5 linked regions of the Sus scrofa genome follow. The protein of the gene in region 1 interacts with the protein of each later gene in a pairwise test. Links are inferred from orthologs where the notes say so. Each region holds a gene or a part of one and is shown in the gene's direction. Other genes may lie near its edges. The genes, in order: CEP63, CAMKK2, SMC3, TXLNB and DTNB.

The links.
Region 2: the proteins of CEP63 (region 1) and CAMKK2 interact in a two-hybrid assay, tested with the Homo sapiens proteins (2 studies listed by BioGRID and IntAct). The link is inferred for Sus scrofa from reciprocal best matches to the Homo sapiens genes CEP63 and CAMKK2.
Region 3: the proteins of CEP63 (region 1) and SMC3 interact in a two-hybrid assay, tested with the Homo sapiens proteins (2 studies listed by BioGRID and IntAct). The link is inferred for Sus scrofa from reciprocal best matches to the Homo sapiens genes CEP63 and SMC3.
Region 4: the proteins of CEP63 (region 1) and TXLNB interact in binary tests that used the Homo sapiens proteins (3 or more experiments, as listed by UniProt). The two-hybrid records come from large-scale screens. The link is inferred for Sus scrofa from reciprocal best matches to the Homo sapiens genes CEP63 and TXLNB.
Region 5: the proteins of CEP63 (region 1) and DTNB interact in binary tests that used the Homo sapiens proteins (3 or more experiments, as listed by UniProt). The two-hybrid records come from large-scale screens. The link is inferred for Sus scrofa from reciprocal best matches to the Homo sapiens genes CEP63 and DTNB.

What each region holds. Positions count from the first base shown.
Region 1 is NC_010455.5:75,604,640-75,608,848, forward strand, and holds the start of CEP63 (centrosomal protein of 63 kDa), read left to right. Parts: upstream 1-1,401; 5' UTR 1,402-1,473; coding exon 1,474-1,508; intron 1,509-1,541; exon of another isoform or gene 1,542-1,660; intron 1,661-3,938; exon of another isoform or gene 3,939-3,947; coding exon of another isoform or gene 3,948-3,976; intron 3,977-4,209. UniProt on the Homo sapiens protein: Required for normal spindle assembly.
Region 2 is NC_010456.5:31,327,928-31,331,444, forward strand, and holds part of CAMKK2 (calcium/calmodulin-dependent protein kinase kinase 2), read left to right. Parts: intron 1-95; exon of another isoform or gene 96-237; intron 238-2,366; 5' UTR 2,367-2,432; coding exon 2,433-2,879; intron 2,880-3,517. UniProt on the Homo sapiens protein: Calcium/calmodulin-dependent protein kinase belonging to a proposed calcium-triggered signaling cascade involved in a number of cellular processes. Isoform 1, isoform 2 and isoform 3 phosphorylate CAMK1 and CAMK4. Isoform 3 phosphorylates CAMK1D.
Region 3 is NC_010456.5:120,968,454-120,972,428, forward strand, and holds the start of SMC3 (structural maintenance of chromosomes protein 3), read left to right. Parts: upstream 1-1,175; 5' UTR 1,176-1,322; coding exon 1,323-1,337; intron 1,338-2,642; coding exon 2,643-2,718; intron 2,719-3,975. UniProt on the Homo sapiens protein: Central component of cohesin, a complex required for chromosome cohesion during the cell cycle. The cohesin complex may form a large proteinaceous ring within which sister chromatids can be trapped.
Region 4 is NC_010443.5:25,280,597-25,283,213, forward strand, and holds part of TXLNB (beta-taxilin), read left to right. Parts: intron 1-321; coding exon 322-417; intron 418-1,547; coding exon 1,548-2,297; 3' UTR 2,298-2,617. UniProt on the Homo sapiens protein: Promotes motor nerve regeneration. May be involved in intracellular vesicle traffic.
Region 5 is NC_010445.4:113,473,648-113,477,164, forward strand, and holds the end of DTNB (dystrobrevin beta), read left to right. Parts: intron 1-991; coding exon 992-1,025; intron 1,026-2,814; coding exon 2,815-3,246; 3' UTR 3,247-3,362; downstream 3,363-3,517.

The sequences.
Region 1 (4,209 bases):
GTCAGTGACTCAGCACATCTTTCCTCAATTTGGCCTCAATCTTTTTTCACCTGTCCCTCTTCCGAACACCTCTAACTCTGTTATCCTTTCCAGCCTTTGCACTCAAAGTTCTTTACCCCATCACTAACACACCCATTTTTCCTTCCAAACTCAAAGCTGGCGTCAGCTCATCAGAACCAACATGCCATTTCCAGAGTTAGGCGCTAAGGTGCCTTCTCTCTTCAGGGGCTGGAAAAAAGGAAAGCACAAGACGGGCAAAGAGGGGCAATGACCAGGAAATGACTACGTCTCAAACACTTGCCTCACTCAACAGAATGAAGCATTACCACTTTCCTGAACAAAGTTTTCTTACACATACGACTGTCCCAATGCCTGGAATGCTCTGTCTTCTTCCTTTTTTCCCCAGCTAACCCCAAACTGTCCAAAAAATTTAGCTCCCAGGTCGTCTTCTGCAGGAGTCGTTCTCTAAGAGCCAGAAGAGCGCAGTCCCCGCCCCTCCGCGGGTCCCATAGTTCTCTGGGCACAGAGAATGATCCCCATCAGGATCTTGGTATATTGCCTGTCACACGGTCTTTCCAGACACGAGACGCCTGCGTTTCCCGGGGGGAGGGCAGTTTTATTCATCTCTGCTTTAGAGCTCTGTGAAACATGCAGTTACATGAGCAAAACTGGGACGCCTTTTCCCTCGCTAGAAATGACCCTCTCGGGCCACCACCGTCCATACAGGCCTGGGAGGCCGCCCCACAGCCACGGCTTCCGGCCCGAGGCGGGATATACCAAATGCGGAAGCGAGGGGGGGGGGTCCGGACAGCCAAGCAAGTTCCCCTCCTCCCCGCCCAACGTGTGGTAAGAGAAGTGGTTAGGAGGGAGAGGATGATGTGAAAACAACGACCTAAGCCAAGAGAAACGGCAGGAGTCCGAACGCGCTCCCGTATCTCCAGACCCTACATTACGTGCGCGCAAACCCTTTTACCAGCCCCAAACCCAGCGTGTCACACACCCCCGCCGACCGCGCCCTCAGCATCACGTGACCCAGACGTCCTTCACTTTCCGATCCCCGGATGTGGGTGAGCCCATTTGCCGGAGCACAGGGGGAGTTAGGGAGGACATTGTTTTAATTAAAAGTGAAGGAGCAGTGGGCAAAACGAACGTGCTGACTGCTGTGGCTGGACGTCAGGTTGGCGGTGCCGCGCGTGCGCACCCCCAGCCGTAGGTAACGGCGGGAAGGCTCGGGGAGCGCTCGCGGCAGCCCTTAACCGCATTGCGAACGTCGGACGGGCGAGGGGCGGCCGTCTCTGGGCCTGGAGGTAGCCCTGGCTGCGGTGGGGCCGCGGGCCGAGCGGCCGAATGGCCTGGGGCCTGCTTCCTCAGCCGCCCGCTGGCCTCCAGGCCCGCCCCCGCCGGCCCGGCTCCGCCCCGGCGCCCCGCCCCCCGGCCTTTTCGCTGACGCCCGGCTGACCCGCGAAGCCGGATATGGCCTCCCTCGGCGTGCGGTCCCGGCCAGCCAGGTGGTCAGCTCTTACCTAGAGACCGGGCCGGCGGGAGGGCGGCGGGGTGGGCGAGCTGCTCGTCTTCCCGGAGCGGAGTTAGCCGCGGGCCACTCTTCCACTTCAGGGGAGGGATCCTCGGCAAGGCCCTCTCGCCTGGGCTGCCTCATCTGGTTAGCTTCTTAGCATTGTTGCGACTTAGGTCATTGATGGCAGGTGATAGCGGTTCATTCACGGGTGGGAAGTTTAGCAAGTTTTAAAAAGTGAGTTGGTTAAAAACGTATTGGAGGTACAGAAATGTGGCAGAAAACATGAAGGACTCAATTGGGGAACCCTGGACTTAGGGATCCATACAAATCAGGGATGGGAAATAAATGATAAATTGAGGAAATAAAAGGTATAGGTCCTTAGAACACTTTAATCATCAAGATACTTTAAGGCGGTAAATCTAGGCTTATAATGAGGTTTTTCTTATGCTTCTTGAAACAGTAAAGATGAGTCCGCTGTCAGCGACTACTCTTCCTTTGCAATTACAGTACATTTCTTTGCACAAAGTAGTTTTCCTTGAGCCTTACAGACAGTTCCTTAAACCAGTCTTTAAGAATTTTTTCTTCTTTTAATAAAGCAGTATTGTAGGGTTAGTGCCCTGTGGTAATAGTTTCCCACATGCGTGCATTTAATTTTCTAGACATGAAGAGGAAATCAAGGATTATTAACTACATGCTACCTTCGAATATTTATATTTATACTGATCACAACTGTAGCTTAATTATATAATAAAGTGTATGTGTTTTATTTTGAATACCGTATCCTTTTTTTTTTTTTTTTGTCTTTTTGCTATTTCTTGGGCCGCTCCTGCGGCATATGGAGGTTCCCAGGCTAGGGGTTGAATCGGAGCTGTAGCCACCTGCCTACGCCAGAGCCACAGCAACGCGGGATCCGAGCCGCGTCTGCAACCTACACCACAGCTCATGGCAAAGCCGGATCGTTAACCCACTGAGCAAGGGCAGGGACCGAACCCGCAACCTCATGGTTCCTAGTCGGATTCGTTAACCACTGTGCCACGAGGGGAACTCCCCATATCATTTTTAGATGGATTTTTATTCTGCCTTTTGATTATATCATTATCAGTGATTAGTAAGAAAGACAAATTAAAACGGGTTAGACATTTATAAACTTTCACTTTAAAATGAACTGCACTTTAAAATGTATGTTGATTCAGTTTTTAAAATTATTTCTAGTAATTGTGTATATTAATAGTACTGAAGCCACTCTTCTCCCATTAAAGGTAGAACACTCTTGCTTGATCCTACCTGTTCTTACTTGTGTACTAGTGGTGGTAGGTGGTGACAGCATCAGTAGTAGTCCACTTTATCAGAACTTCCTACTTTTAAATGTATATTAACTTGATTTGAAATTCACCTAAAGCCAGCGTTGACATATGTTTCAGGAATTGAATTTTTGGTCTTTATGGTATTTTAGGCTTTCTTCCTTCAATAATTAGTGTTTTCAGTTTTACAAAATTGTATTACTGTCATCACATCTATGACAATTAGTAAAATACCCGAAATGTCAATATTTAGTCTGAGTTTGGATTTCCCCAATTGTCCCAAATACGTGTTTTTACAGTTAGCTTGTTTGGATCAAAGTCCTTTAGAGACCCATTTGTTGCATTGGGTTGATACACCTTTTAGAAGTTTTTTATATGGCAGTTTTGTTGCCTCCCTTATTTCCCTTAACATTCTAGATTTAGTTGATTGCATCCACATAGTATCCTTTAACTTATATATCTATTCCCTTTATCACCTTTAAACTGGTAGTAAGGTCTAGAATTGCCCTGTCTAATATAGCAGGCACCAGCCAGCTATGGCTGTCTAAATGAATTAAAATAGGAAAAAACCCCAAAAATTTCAGTTCCCTAGTTGCATTGGCCACATTTCAAGTGCATGATAGTCACAGATGCCTAATGGCTACTATTTGAATTGTATATATAAAGATTTCCATAATTGCATAAAGGTCTTTTGAACAGTACTGATCTAGAAACTCGATCAGATTCAGCCTTGACTCTTTGGGAAGGGTGAGGGTGGGGCAAGATTTCATAGTTGGTGCAAAACAGTAATGTCCAAGTTTTTTCTCTTTGGTGTTACAACTGGGCAGCTATGGGGGTTCAGGTGTTGTCAGTCCAGTTTATCCATGATGAAATTCCCTGTGAACCTTTCACTTAATGGTGAGATCCTGTCCTGGATTTAGATTGCTTATATCCATTATTGCATTAGAGTTTGCAATATGGTGATTCTTTGATTCTATCCTCAGTATTTAATTAGCTGGAAATTTTTTGTGAAGAAGAACTTTTTACTTCAGCAAGCTATTTGACTACCCCGCCAGCTGTTTGCAATACAGTTTGTATAGGAAAGACAAGAAAAATGCTGAATTCTTTCCCTCTATTTCCAGAGTACAGTAATGAGTTGGTGGCCTAGCAATCTCCAAAGGTAACCATGAGCGTTTTGCCTTTTTTTTAAAAAAATCATCATGAACTTACAGACTTGAATATATTTAAACTGTTTCAACCTAGTGCGGGTTTTGGGGGGGGGTTGGGTACTTAACTTGTCCTGTTGTTGGCCAGTAGTAGCCTGAATAAGTTGTCTTTTGTCCACTTTGAGAGTTTCCTTATTGTTGAGTAAAAGGTGTTATTGGCTTATTTGTATATTTCCGACCACTAAGA
Region 2 (3,517 bases), on another chromosome or scaffold:
CGGTTCCCAACTGTACTTTCCTCTCTCTCCCCCCACTGCCAGCCAATGTTATAAAGAGATATAATTTTATTCATTCATAAAATCTCTCTGCTCAGCACTCACTGCTTTCCTGGCATTTCCCTGACGTGGGTGATCAGCACGGAACCGCCACCTTCTGCATCTGTGGATGTACTCCATGAATTCCAGTGGTACCTGTGACATTTGTCCAGCAGAATTTGTCAAACACACGAAGCAAAGGTTAATATTCTGTTCCAGAGACAGAAGGAATTGACAGTCTGAGTGTGTCAATTTTTTGTAATTTACACAAAATTAACCATTTAAACGTGTGCAACTCAATGTCATTTAGTACATTCACAGTGTTGTGCAACCACCACCTTTATCTAGTTCCAGGGTCTTTTCAGCACCCCGAGAGGAGACCCCCCGTGCCCCCTGGCAGTTACTTCCCATTTCCCCTAACACCTCCCCAGTCCTTGGCAACCACTGTACTTTCTGTCTGTGTGGATTTGCCCATTCAAAAATCTCACGTAGCTAGGATCATACACACGTGACCTTTTGTGTCTGGCTTCTTCCACTCAGCAGCATGTTCTTGAAGCTCATGCAGGTTGTAGCCTGTGTCGATTCTTTATTCCTTTTAAGTCATGCTCCATTGTGTGGACAGACCACATTTTCCCATCCATTCATCTATTGTTGGACATGTAGGTTGTTTTTTTCTCTTTTCGGTGTTGTGAGTAGTGCTGTTTGGGTAGATACCAAGGAACACAGTTGCTCAGTCATATGGTAATTCTCTTAGTTATTTGAGGAACCACCAAACTATTTGATGCCAACCTTTTTTTTGGGGGGTGGGGGTGGCATTCATGGCACACGGAAGTTCCAGGGCCAGATATCGAAGCGACACTGCACCGTAGCTGTGGCAACATCAGATCCTTAACCTGCTGTGCCACAAGGGAACTTCCGAAGCTAACCTTTTTTATCTCGTATTTGCTTTTTGTCTAGCAGTAGCTAGCTGGGGCTGAGCTAGGGCAACAGTAGATAACAGATATGTTGAGCCTTCCTCCTCAGACAGCACACACTCCCCTGGCTCACACACTCTCTGGGCGCCTCTTCCTCCTCTGGTGTGACCTCCTGACCCTCACACCTCAGGAATCATTGGCTCCGGGCCAGGCCAGGGGACTGGACTCCTGTGCGCATGGTGTGTGCCTTAGGACAAATCCTTCTCCCTCTCTTGAGTCTCAGTTTCCCCATTTATAAAATGAAGGTATAAGGGCAAACCAACAACCTAGGGCACTTGTGAAATGATCCTGATGTGTGGAAGATATTTTATAAACTGGAAGGTGCTGTCTACATCATTGCTCTTATGAAGAGAGGCAGCCCAGAGGTCATCATGAGGAAGTGTTTCTTTGGCCTGTTTTTTTTTTTTGTTTTTGTTTTTGTTTTTTGTCTTTTTGCCATTTCTTGGGCCACTCCCATGGCATGTGGAGATTCCCAGACTAGGGGTCGAATCTGAGCTGTAGCCAGAGCCACAGCAACGTAGGATCCGAGCGGAATCTGCAACCTACACCACAGCTCACAGCAACGCTGGATCCTTAACCCACTGAGCAAGGCCAGGGACTGAACCCGAAACCTCATGGTTCCTAGTCAGATTCGTTAACCACGGAGCCACGACGGGAACTCCAGGTATTTTAAAATATTTAAAATAATTGCGAATTTTCCAAAAGTTAAGAGATCTCACCCAACATCATCGGTTTAGGACTTCTCTTTAAATAAATAAATAAAAAACATGGGGGAGGTAATCAGACAATTCTAGGCCCAAATTCCTGCTTAGCAACAGTTGGCTTGAGCTGGAAGCCACATTTGTTGGGTGCATGGGTGCTCTAGTTTTTGGGTCTTCTCATACTTGGTTTCTACAGGAATTGAATTTGGATTCTTGTAGTGTATGAGGAGGGGCTTTTTTTTTTTTTTTTTTTTAATTTTTACTTCGTCACCCACAGCATATGTAAGTTCCTGGGCTAGGGGTCCAATCAGAGCTGCAGCTGCCAGCCTACACCACACCACAGCAATGCCAGATCCCAGCTGCCTCTGTGACCTTTTTGCAGCAACTCGGATCCTTAACCCACTGAGCGAGGTCAGGGGTGGAACCTGCGTCCTTGTGGATACTAGTCAGGTTCTTAACCTGCTGAGCCACTTTGGGAACTCCTGTGAAGAAATGTGGAGTAAGCTCATCTCTACAGACTCAGATCAGATTTTATCGTGTTGTAAGGACTCCACTCAAAGCAGGAATGAGGCATCAGGCTTGGCCAGCAGGAGAAACCCCCTACCTTGGCCCTGCCCCACTGGGTGGGGGCAGCTGACCCTTCCTCTCTCTGCAGGTGGCGTGAGCTGCTGGATGGGTGTACCCCCGAGAGTCTGTGTCGCATCAAGTGGGCACATGCACCATGTCATCATGTGTCTCTAGCCAGCCCAGTAGCAACCGGGCCGCCCCCCACGATGAGCTGGGGGGCGGAGGCGGCAGCAGCAGCGAAGGCCGGAAGCCCTGTGAGGCCCTGCGTGGCCTCTCGTCCCTGAGCATCCGCCTGGGCATGGAGTCCTTCATCGTGGTCACAGAGTGTGAGCCGGCCTGTCCTGTGGATCTCAGCCTGACCAGGGACCGGCCCCTGGAGGCAGATGGCGGCGAGGTCCCGCTTGACGCCTCTGTGGCCCAGGCCCGGCCCCTCCTCTCCAGCCGCAAGCTCTCTCTGCAGGAGCGGACCCAGCTGGACGCAAATGGGCGTGGTGTCTGCCCGGCTCTGCCCCACTCGCCCGTGGGCTCCCCGCAGTCCTCACCGCGGCTGCCCCGGCGGCCCACCGTGGAGTCGCACCATGTCTCCATCACCGGGATGCAGGTGCGTGAGCGGCGGCCCCCGGTGCCGTGTCCCTGCGCCTGCCAGAAATGCCTTGGTGTTAGGCTAGGGTCCCTGAGAATTCTAGTGCAAACAGTTGCTTTGGGAGGTGACCCCAGAAAACCCAGAAAGAAGTCAGTAAAGGTGCATGATGGAGCCGGTGGGCAGCTGTGGTGCCACCTCTGGGGAGCCCTGCAGGAGACAGTGTAGGAGGCCAGCCCCAATGTTATTCTACCTGCCGGCAAGGAAGCTCCGCCTTTGACACCAGCTGCTGGCAGTCCCTGGTGAGGGCTTCTGGCTGTGGGTGAGCTGCCTTGAGTGTGGACAGAGCATCTCCCCGTGGAGAGAGCCTCTGGCAAAGGGATGTAGATGCTGGCGCTTGGAAGTTGTGCTAGGGGCTTTGAATTGGGGATGGCAGGTCAGTCACTGCTGAAAACCTGAAAACCGCAGGGCCCCAGTTGCTGAGTGTTTGCCTTCTCAGGCTCCTTATGTGCATCTCTCTCTTGATCCTTACCATGAACTCCTGGAAGATAGGTTGGAACTCAGACCCCCAGCAGGGTTCTCAGGGCCTGGTCCACCCCTTCCCCACCTCCTACCTTTGTGCTGCACAGAGCTCCCACCAGACCCACTTCTTTGTATTC
Region 3 (3,975 bases), on another chromosome or scaffold:
CCTGTATAAGTTATATAAACCAATTGGATAAGATTCATTTAGTATGTCTAAATAAGTAAAACTCTCATCACTGTAAAGAACATCATAAATGTTTGGTCACCATGCTTTCATCTATATACCTCTATAATTTAGGTAAATAGAATAGCCTTATGCATTGTTTCTGCAATTCTAAACATGAAAATGGTTTTATCCTCATTTTATAGGTTAGTAAAGAAGACTTAAAACTTCAATATCAATGTGTCTATGATCCCAGAGTTAGAAATCAACAGTATAGAGATGCTAATCCAGTAAATAGGGCTGGAACTGCCCAAGGGCAGTGGGAGGGGTGGTGAGGAGGGACCAACTTGGTTGGCAAGTAACTTCACAGTGGCCCAATTTCTAATCAAATGGTTTTTTCCCTAGGATTGATATACATCAGCTACACCAACGGTTGCCACTGGCGCCTCTTAGCTTTCAGACTGTTAAAAAAAAAAAGCGGGGTTGGGGGGAACTTTTAATCTTATCTAAATCTTGTTGCTGCAGTTGTCCAATCTGCCTAGATTTATAGCAAATAAAGCAGTAACAGCTCCGGAGGTATTAACCATGACATTATTACAACTAATTTTCCAGCGCCAAGTTTACATGGGGCTGTCCTGCGAGTGGACAGTCTAGAGCCATTGAGAGCCGTTCTAAATTTATAAAAGTCCCCGAGTAAGAGAGAATAATGGAACAGCCGGAATTCAGCTCGCCGAACACCGTCCCGCCCCCGATCCTGCATTCAGCAGGTTTGGGGGAATGGCACGACCCGCGCGCGGCGTTGGTTGGGGGGGGACGGGAGTGGTGTCGTCCCATTTTTATACAGTCGGAGACCACGTGACCTCCGCCCCGCACCGCTACTGGCCCTCCGCCTCTAGCTCTCGGCTTTGGCGCCGAACCTTTCCCCCCTTCTGGCCGCAACCATTATCTCTGAGCTCGGAGGAAATACGGGCCAACCACACGATCGAGGCTTTTCTGAATGAAACTTCCGACAATTTCTCCAGAAAAGTTCAGCTAAAAATTGAGGGATCAAGTGAAATACACCTGAAGACATCGTAGAAGGTTCCTTTTGCCAAAAAGAAAGAACGGACCTAACCCTGATTCCCCCTACGCTCCGTGGGGGTCGCGAGGGTGGTTCCGTCCGAGGCGCGGACTCCGCCTCCGCGGGCGCCGCCATTTTGTTTGGCTGGAGGGGAGCGAGCGGCGCTCTGGGGGGAGGGGTCTCCTAGGCTCCTCACCAGACCCCGCGCCCTCGCTGTTGCTTTTTGCGGCGGAGGCCGTCTCCCCGGCTAGGAGCGCCCGGAACCATGTACATAAAGCAGGTGAGGTCTATGTGTCCCTCCTTTCCCCTGCCACGGGCTCGTGAGGACCGCTCTTTGAGGCGAGGATGTCGCGGCCTTTCACATCTCCCCGCAGGGTGGACGCGGGGCTGGACAGGGAGTGTGGGGGAGGGGAGAGGGCCGACCCACTAGCGCAGGGCCGCGGAGAAGTGGGGCTCCTCCCTGCAGCCCCGGCGGCCCTGCAGGGCGCTCGCCTGAGGGGGGCGGGCTCGGGGAGAGGGGTGGAGGGGCTGGCGGGGCTGTCTTGTTGGAGGCACTAGGTCTTCCCGGGTGGGCCGGGGCGGGAGAGGCCCGGGACGGGAAGAGGCTTCGTCCTGCTGCCCTGGGCAGCTCCGCGAGGGCGTTTAGTGTGTGGTGGTGGTGGTGGTGGTGGGGTCTCCCCAGTCCGGGGGCGCCTCTGGGGGTGTCAGCCTAACTGGGGGTTTGCTCCTCCCCGACTTAGCCAAGGAGTGAGAAGGCTCCTCCTTCCTGCACGGTGCGTAGTGCCTCCTCATTCCGTTGTTTACTTCTGTCAAAATGGTCTTCCCGCGCTGGAGTCCACCGCAAAGATGGACCCATTCACGCTCTGCGAGAAGTTTCTCTTGTCGGATGTGTTGGCCTCAGAGCAGCGGTTCCACGAAAGGGATGCTCATTCTGGCTGGGCCGGAGTGTGGCTGGCAGGGACGCCCAGAAAAGCTGGGGCCGGTCTGCAAGTTTGATGTGCTTTTACTACAGCCTTGTAATGCTTAGTGTTCCTACGGACCTTGGGCTTGATTTTGAGAATTTCCTAACAGGTTATTAATTATCGCTCCTAAAAAAGCAACATTGGCAGTGGTTACTGATTTTTTTTTTAAATCACCGTTTTTCCAAAATGAGTTTTTCTTCTCTGAAATGGAAACTTTATTATCTTGCATTAAATGAGAAACCAGGACGGAAAGGTGTGCAAAAAGGTGTTAGTTTAGAGATTATTCCTGGAGTTCCCGTGGTGACTCAGTGGTTAACTAATCCGACTAGGAACCATGAGGTTGCGGTTCGATCCCTGGCCTTGCTTAGTGGCTTAAGAATCTGGCGTCGCCGTGAGCTGTGAGCTGTGGTGTAGGTTGCAGACGCGGCACGGATCCTGCGTTGCTGTGGCTCTGGCTTGGGCCGGCAGCTACAGCTCCGATTCAACCCCTACCTAGCCTGGGAACCTCCATATGCCACGGGAGCAGCCCTAGGAATGGCAAAAAGACAATAAATAAATAAATAAATAAATAGAAGTTATTCCTTTTGGGGTGTGTTTTGATAAATCCCTTTTTTATTTATCAGGTTATTATCCAGGGATTTCGAAGTTACAGAGATCAAACAATTGTAGACCCCTTCAGTTCAAAACATAATGTTATTGGTAAGTGTTCATGGTTTTACTCGATCAGATTTCAATCTATACAGACATTTAAATTCTGTCTCTATTAGGCTACAGACGACCTGTCTTTGAATATTATGTACACTTATATGTATTTTTTCTCTGTGAAATTACTTTTCTGTCTTTGATTTGCACTGATGAAGTTGCTTTCTTTATACATTTAAAATATTGGATAAGGCAATCATAAATTGCTCATTTTTATTCGGTAGTCATGTTGTGTATTTGTGTGGGAAGATCATAAACTTTGGATCATAACAGAATGGGATTCAAATCCCAATGCTGCCATGTATTCCTCAAACTTCACTCCCTGAGGTGCTTCAGTTTTCTCATTTGTACAGTGGAGATAATGATACACATTTTGTAGGGCTGTTGGGAAAATTAAATGAGAAAGCAGTTGTGTGAGGATAAGTTAATCATGATTGCCTTGCAACGTAATATCTAATCCATAAATTCTTTGGATGATAATGTTCCATTTGGCTGATACAGACAGCAAAAATGTTTTGAAATGAGTGCTTGTAGGCCCCAGAAAAGCATAGAATGTGCTGTTGACAAAGACTTATGCTATGCAGTGTCCTCCTTAAAGAGTATGTTGGTATATTTGTCTGCTTAGTTTACCATAACAAAATATCAGAGACTAGGTGGCTTAAACCACAGGGATTAATTTTTTTACTTTTCTGGAGGCCCTACCCCTCACGCTAATAGGACCTTCTTTGAGCCTCTCCCTCTCATCCCCCCAAAAAGGCCCCATCCTCTTAACCTCACATTTACCTCCCAAAGGCCCCCATCTCCAAAAAGCTTCACATAGGGAGTTAGGGATGCAACATATGAATTTGAGGGGGCGACACAATTCAGTCCATAGCATGGGGTGAGATGAGATTGGTATAGAAATCAATAAAGGGTGAACAGTTAATGCTGATGTTCTCAGAAAAACTTTGAGAATCATACTTTATTTTGAATTAAGTAAATAAATAATAAAAGTTTAAAATTGACGGCAGAGAAGAAACCTGCTCTGGATGTGTCAGTTGCAACCTTGTATTTGGAAATAAAGAAAATATGCTTTTCTCCCTGTCTTACCTACTGAAGAATCATTCATAAATTGGTGTCCCATAAGGGTGGCATGATTGTATTAGAGTTTTACATTTTGACTAAAAGTGCCTTCTAATTATCATCAATCAGAAAATCTTTAGATTTGGAGAAAAATGAGTAATTACTAGACTTATTTCCTTAAATGTATACAGT
Region 4 (2,617 bases), on another chromosome or scaffold:
ATTTCAAGTTTATTCTTGGGACTCAATAAAGCTATTTTTATTTTAAACAAAAGAAAAAGCATGACAAAACAGGAAGGCCCTAAGTAGTTCCCTTTCTCCTGAATTGGCTCTGATGCAAATAAATTTGTTCACCACTGACCCAGATGATTCAGAAATAAATCATGACTCTCTCCACTCATTCTTCATTCCTTGGTATTGAATTTTTGTTTCCTTCAGTAGCTGGTAACAAAAGAACTTTTCCTGACATCACATATGGCACCGACAGTTTCTTTGATATATTAACTAATCAGGATTAACATTAAAACATTCTAATTTCTATAGACCACTAAGAAAATGAAGAAGCTGGAAAAAGAAACAGCCACGTGGAAAGCCCGGTTTGAGAACTGTAACAAAGCTCTGTTGGACATGATTGAAGAGGTGAGGAAGCTTTTCCCCTTGCTCTTCTTCCCCTGACTAGTCAATACATTTATACTCAGAAAGCAACTATGGCCTAATAGCACAAATGAGTACCTTTGAAAAAGAGATGAATTTTTCTGGAATGTGCTATATATGATATTGCAATAAAAGTAATTACCACAAAAGACTCATTAAGAGCATTTTAACCCTAAGTCATATGCCTACTTGTTGATTCCAAAGCAGCACCACACCTGCTAGATGAATGTTTTAGCTGTGCTTGAATTTCCCTTGTGCCTAATGCATAACAGGCACAGAGTAAATTAATTAGTTGATTCAAACACAGTGAGAAAAACACCAGCCCAAGCACCCAAAGTATATGTTATTTTATAGACAGATACAGAGATAAATTGCTTAATTCCTCCAACAGTCATTTAAATACTGATATTCTTTCAGGCTCTGGAGGTTTTGAGACTATGAAGGCAAAGATACATGGCCCTTGACCTGAGAGGCAGGGCTTACAGGTGAAGATCTCTCCAGTAAACAAGTGGGGGAAAAAGTCTTAAAAGGTACATAATAGCACAAAGGCAGGGGTGAAGGAGTAAGATGATTAGGAACAATTTCATGCACTAACACACCAACATTTCTAGAGAAAAGGAGAAATGAACAGTTTAAGCAGCATCACGAATGAGTGCATGGTGAGTTTCTCCACTTATAATTACTGTTCTAACAATTCATCCCAAACTGCAACCAATTCCAAAGAGATGTGCTTATTATTCATAAACATAAATCAAACAGTTGCTTGATTAGCATATAGCAATTTATCTCTTGAACAGTTAAGGCACTGCTGACGGCCAAGTCCCAGTCCATCTCAATCATTTTGCCACAAGCTTCTGCTTATGCCTTCTAAGTCTTAAAAGCAGAAAATACATTTTAAGATTTTAGAAGCCTCAGACTGAAACTATCTTTCTTTCCTAAAGAATATGTGAATTAAAATTCTACCCAAAGACTCCAACACAGGGCAAGAGTGATGTCCCTGACCAAGTCCCCGTCCAGCCAACCCCTTGCGGTCAGAGCCTGATAAATTGCAGAGGGCATCCTTGCCATTTTGTTTTTTGTGTCATTTAATGTGCGTGTGCGTGTTTAAATCACAGAAAACATTGAGAGCTAAAGAATACGAATGCTTCGTGATGAAAATCGGAAGGCTAGAAAACCTCTGCCGAGCTTTACAAGAAGAGAGAAATGAACTCTACAAGAAAATCAGAGAAGCGAAAATGCCTGAAAAAGACGACCAAAGTCAGCACACCTCAGACGAGGAGCTAGAGTCAAATACCTTTGTGAGTGAAGAGGTTGATGCCGCTGCAGAGGAAGCCAATAGGGTTCACAATGCCGTGCAGAATCTGGCTGCGGCCTTCATGGTCATTCATCGTCCAGAGTCAACCGTCGACGGGTCTAAAGAAATCCCAGCAGAAGTCGGCGGTCCTCCAGAGGGCGGCAGCACGACCCTCAAGGAGCCGGAACAAGCCCCCCTGAGCCCTCGAGGCCTTTCAGAGAGTCCCCTGCCTCCACCAAGGCCTCAGGCTGAGACCGCGGGAGGACATGAAGCCGAACCTCCCCTCAGGGCCAGGAGTCCCCCAGCTGAGTCAGGAGCAGAGGCCCAAAGCTTCCGGCTCCCGACCGAAGCACAGGTGGATCTGCAGCCCCGGAAGCCGCAGGCAGCAGCTTCCGGTCAGGCGCTGGAGCCGCTCGCTGAGGCCTCGCTCCAGGTGATGGAGGCCGACCATCCTGCTCCACCTCCCGCTGCAGGTGAGCACGTGCCAACCGCTGAGGGGCTGCCAGGAGGGGATACGGCCCTGCCCCAGGGGCCAGAAGTGGCCGACACCAATCTGGAAGGAGTAGATTAAGCCTCGTCTGCCTTCAGAGGCTCTTCTTGACTTTCCATCTTTCACCTGAAAAAGGCATTAAGAGCTAGAGACATCTAATGGAAGAGACTTAATCAGATCAAGACATTTTAAATGTTAAGTAGAGTACAATCAGCCTTTGTTATTTGTTCTCAATTTGTAACTGATTTGGAGTTTTTCTATTTAGTACTGGTTGATGGTATAATTTTCCCAAATGGCAACAAAAAATCCGAGTAGCAACTGTATATTAATTTGCCATTATGATGATACTTAATTCAGTTTCCTAATCAACAGTAAAATTTGGTATTTAAAGATTTCCACTA
Region 5 (3,517 bases), on another chromosome or scaffold:
TTTTTTTTTTTTGGCCATGCCTGCCACATGAGAAGTCCCCAAGCCAAGGATCAAACCAAGCCACAGCCATGACCCAAGCCACAGCACTGACAATGCTGAATCCTTAACCTGCCTAGCCACCAGGGAACTCCCAGGTGGGCACTTGTGAAGAATTCATGACCGAGCTGACCTGGCAGCCACATTCACCTCTCCCTCGAGCTGCTCCCTGCCCTCCCCAGCTGTCTGTCCGGCTGCATCCTGACCAATGCTTCTGCTCCACTGGGCACCCTTCCTGCTTTGCATCTGCTCCCTCGCGTGGTCGGTACGGATAACCAAGACTCCGTAGATGAAACATGGGCTAGCCTGCCTTCCCCCCCAGATTACTCCAGAGCCCTAAATTCATCTCAGCTACTCCAGAGCCTCATGTTGTATGCCTGTGTCCTTCAAAATCACCTCCCCCACAGCCTGCCACCACAGTGTCAGGAGCTGTAAATCCGCTTGGCACGCTTCAGGCTGGTGCGTGTCTGGTAGACTGACAGCAGCGGTCCTTGGTGAAAAGAGAGCAGGCTTTGGAGGGTCCAGGCAGTGGTTCAGGATTCCAGGGTGAGCCCGACTATGATTTAGTATCCCAAGCAGATAGGGAAATTGTGCTCTTATCAAAGTTTAAATCATTTTCACCTTGTTCGTGTGCAGAACCCGATGGGCGGAGCCCCCAATAGAACTGCTCCCTAGATTTAAGGTGGATTCCTTTCCATGTTAGTCTTATTTTTTTCCTCTTCCTGAGAGCCACTTGTCTCCAAGGCTGTTTTATGTCAGTTGCAGCTGCTGGTTGTAGGAAGTCTGACTCCCCTGTTTCATACCTGGTCGGGGAAAAGTGGACCAATGAGGAACAAAGGGGAGAGGCCAGGCCAGGCCAGGAGCCCCCAGGGCAGGGAACCCCTAGGAGAAGAGGCGGGGGGTGAGGAGACCCCGGCTGTGACCTCGGTGTGTTGTTTGTGTCTGTTGCACACAGGTTAGCGGAGGAGCCGGGACAGAGAGGAAGCGAGGTGAGTAGTGTCTCTGCCGGCCCCCAGAGCCCCTTCCCCACCCGCCTTTCCTCGGTCATGCTTCTTAAGCCAGAGCCACCCCAGCACATGAGATGCAAGTTGGGGTTTCCTCTAGGAGCCCCGCTGCACCTCTTCTCTTGTACGGCCCTGCTGGTGTACCTGCTTGCCCCAGTTTCCCGGCCGGATCTGTCTTGCACTGCCCTGGGCCTGGGCCGCAGGCAGGCCCTCGTGTCCCCTGTGTCTGCATACAGGCGGCAGACCAGACACTGCTGGCTGGAACAGGCCCTGGGAGCAGGCGCCAGAGCTCACCTCCCAGGACGGCTCTGCCTCCTTGCTCCTGATTTCCCACCGCCACTGTCATGTCATTTCTCTCTGGGGTTCCAAACCACAGCCAGCAAGCACACCCCTGAGGTTCTGTCACCCAGAGTTGGAACCCACCACGTGTTTCTGTCACACAGGATTCATAAAGCTGACCAAGCCATTTCCCATGACGCCTGGCCAAGCTGCACTGTTTCTTCACCTCCTAAAAAATTTTAATAACAGTACAGATTTCCCCGCAGGCCAATGCCCATTGCCATTAGGAATTAATCTTTCGCGTTTTTCCATCTGAGGACCTTAACTCTTAACGGGTCCCAGTTCCAAGGCAGTGCAGCTTTGGCACAGGCGCCCCGGAAGGATGGGAATGGATGGGAATAAGGGGACAGCGCGTCCGTTCAGGAGGAGTTCTTTCCAGGCTAGATGCCTTGATGCGGCCATAAGAGTCTTCCCTCCCTCCCCCATCTCCTGTGTTTAAAGTTAGGCCTCGGTTACAGATCTTACAGGCAGAAAAGCCAGGGCTGCAGCCCATGATCCAGAAAAGGAACTTTCTCAGGCCCTTCTGAGGCGTCTCCCCCTGGAGCAGCCTCCCGCCTTTTCCTGACACCCCCGCCCCCCGGCTGCACCAGGCCCTGGGTTCTGTCCTGCTCGCTCTCTGGGGCCTGCTGTCTCTGAGCCCCCACTGACTCCGGGATCGTGCAGGCTAAGGATGGGCAGCCCCGAGCTGCAGGAATCCCCTCCCTGCCCTGGGAATCCCGGAGCCCCCGAGGCCCCAGGGCAGGCTTTTGCCTGAGCTCACTGCGCATGCGGACAAGGCCCTTCCTGACAGCAGGCCTGGCTGCCTCTGCCAGCAAGCGAGTCCGTAGCTGACTTGCGCTGGGGGAGCCTGCCAGAGCCCCTCTTCCCGGGGCACAGAGGTCCTGGGGGACAAGGAAGCCATCAGGCCCGCCCCCACTTCATGCACACAAGGAAGCTAAGGCCCACTACCCAGGAGCTTGGAGCCAGAACTGGCATCGGAGCTGGAGCTTCTGCTCCTAGTGCTGTCCTCGGACCCCTCAGGAGTTATGAGAAACTCTGCAGCAGCGGAGAATGAAAAGCATAAACGCTCAGGTGGGGCAGTTTCACGGACCCTTGCCTTCTGCTCCTCTGAGGCCGTGAGGCTCAGGCTTTCCCTCCCTCTACGCAGCGCTTTGCGGCACATCCCCGACCTCTTCGCCCTTCTCAGTCACAGTTCTTCCCCTGAGCCTCCCGCATTCCAAAACCTTGCACTGTGAACACCCTTCTTTCTTCCCTGGAAACGCTTCCTGACCCTGTGACCTAAGCAAGCACTCCAAAGACTCGAGGTACCCCCAGAAAAAGGAAGCCCCCTTTCCCTAAAAGGGGGTGTGAGTATTGTCAGCCCTTTGCATGTTGAAAGTTGAAAGGTGCGCATTCCAGCAGCACCAACGTTGCACGTTTGTCTTGTTCCCGGCAGATGTTAGCAGCCTTTGCTCGGAGACCCTCAGCAGTGCCTGTGAGTCACAGTGCGTCTGTCCTGCACAGGCACGGGGGACGTGGAGCGAGCTGGCACCAACACAAGGAAGGCGAGGTCCTCCCCCAGAGGCGAATTCCTGTCCATCTTTCCACGGCACACCTGGACCAGGCCTGCGGGCTGCCAGACGTCACCACCCGCCAGGCAGAGGGGAGCCCGAGCCCCTGGGAAGTGGGAGGGGCGCGCCCCCCTCCTGGCACAGCCCTGCATGAACTAGCATCTTCATCACTCCCTTCCGGGCATGGTCTCATCTCTGCAACAGGGAATTTACTGGAGATTGAAAAGAGAAAAGAAACAGCACGACTCTCCTGTGTGTGTGACCTGATGGAGTTCTTGCTGGCATCTCGCCAGCATGCGCGTTGTCCCCCAGGGTGAGGGCACAAGTTTTCTCCCGACCTTTGACCTTTAAAAGCCAACAGGTTTTCTTCCCTCTGTCGTGCAAAGACAGCTTCAGGCCCTGCTCAGTTCAACAAACGTTCACACCCTGGCCACAGTGCTAAAAATAGCCTCCTTCCTTTCTCTCTCACTGCTTAGGCTTCCGCCCCGGTCGGTGCCGCCGCTCAGCAGCCCAGGCGGGAAGCGGGAGCAGAGAGAGCTCTGCCCTGCAGCCCCTGCTACGGCCTCCTCCCGCCGCGGCTGGAGAGGG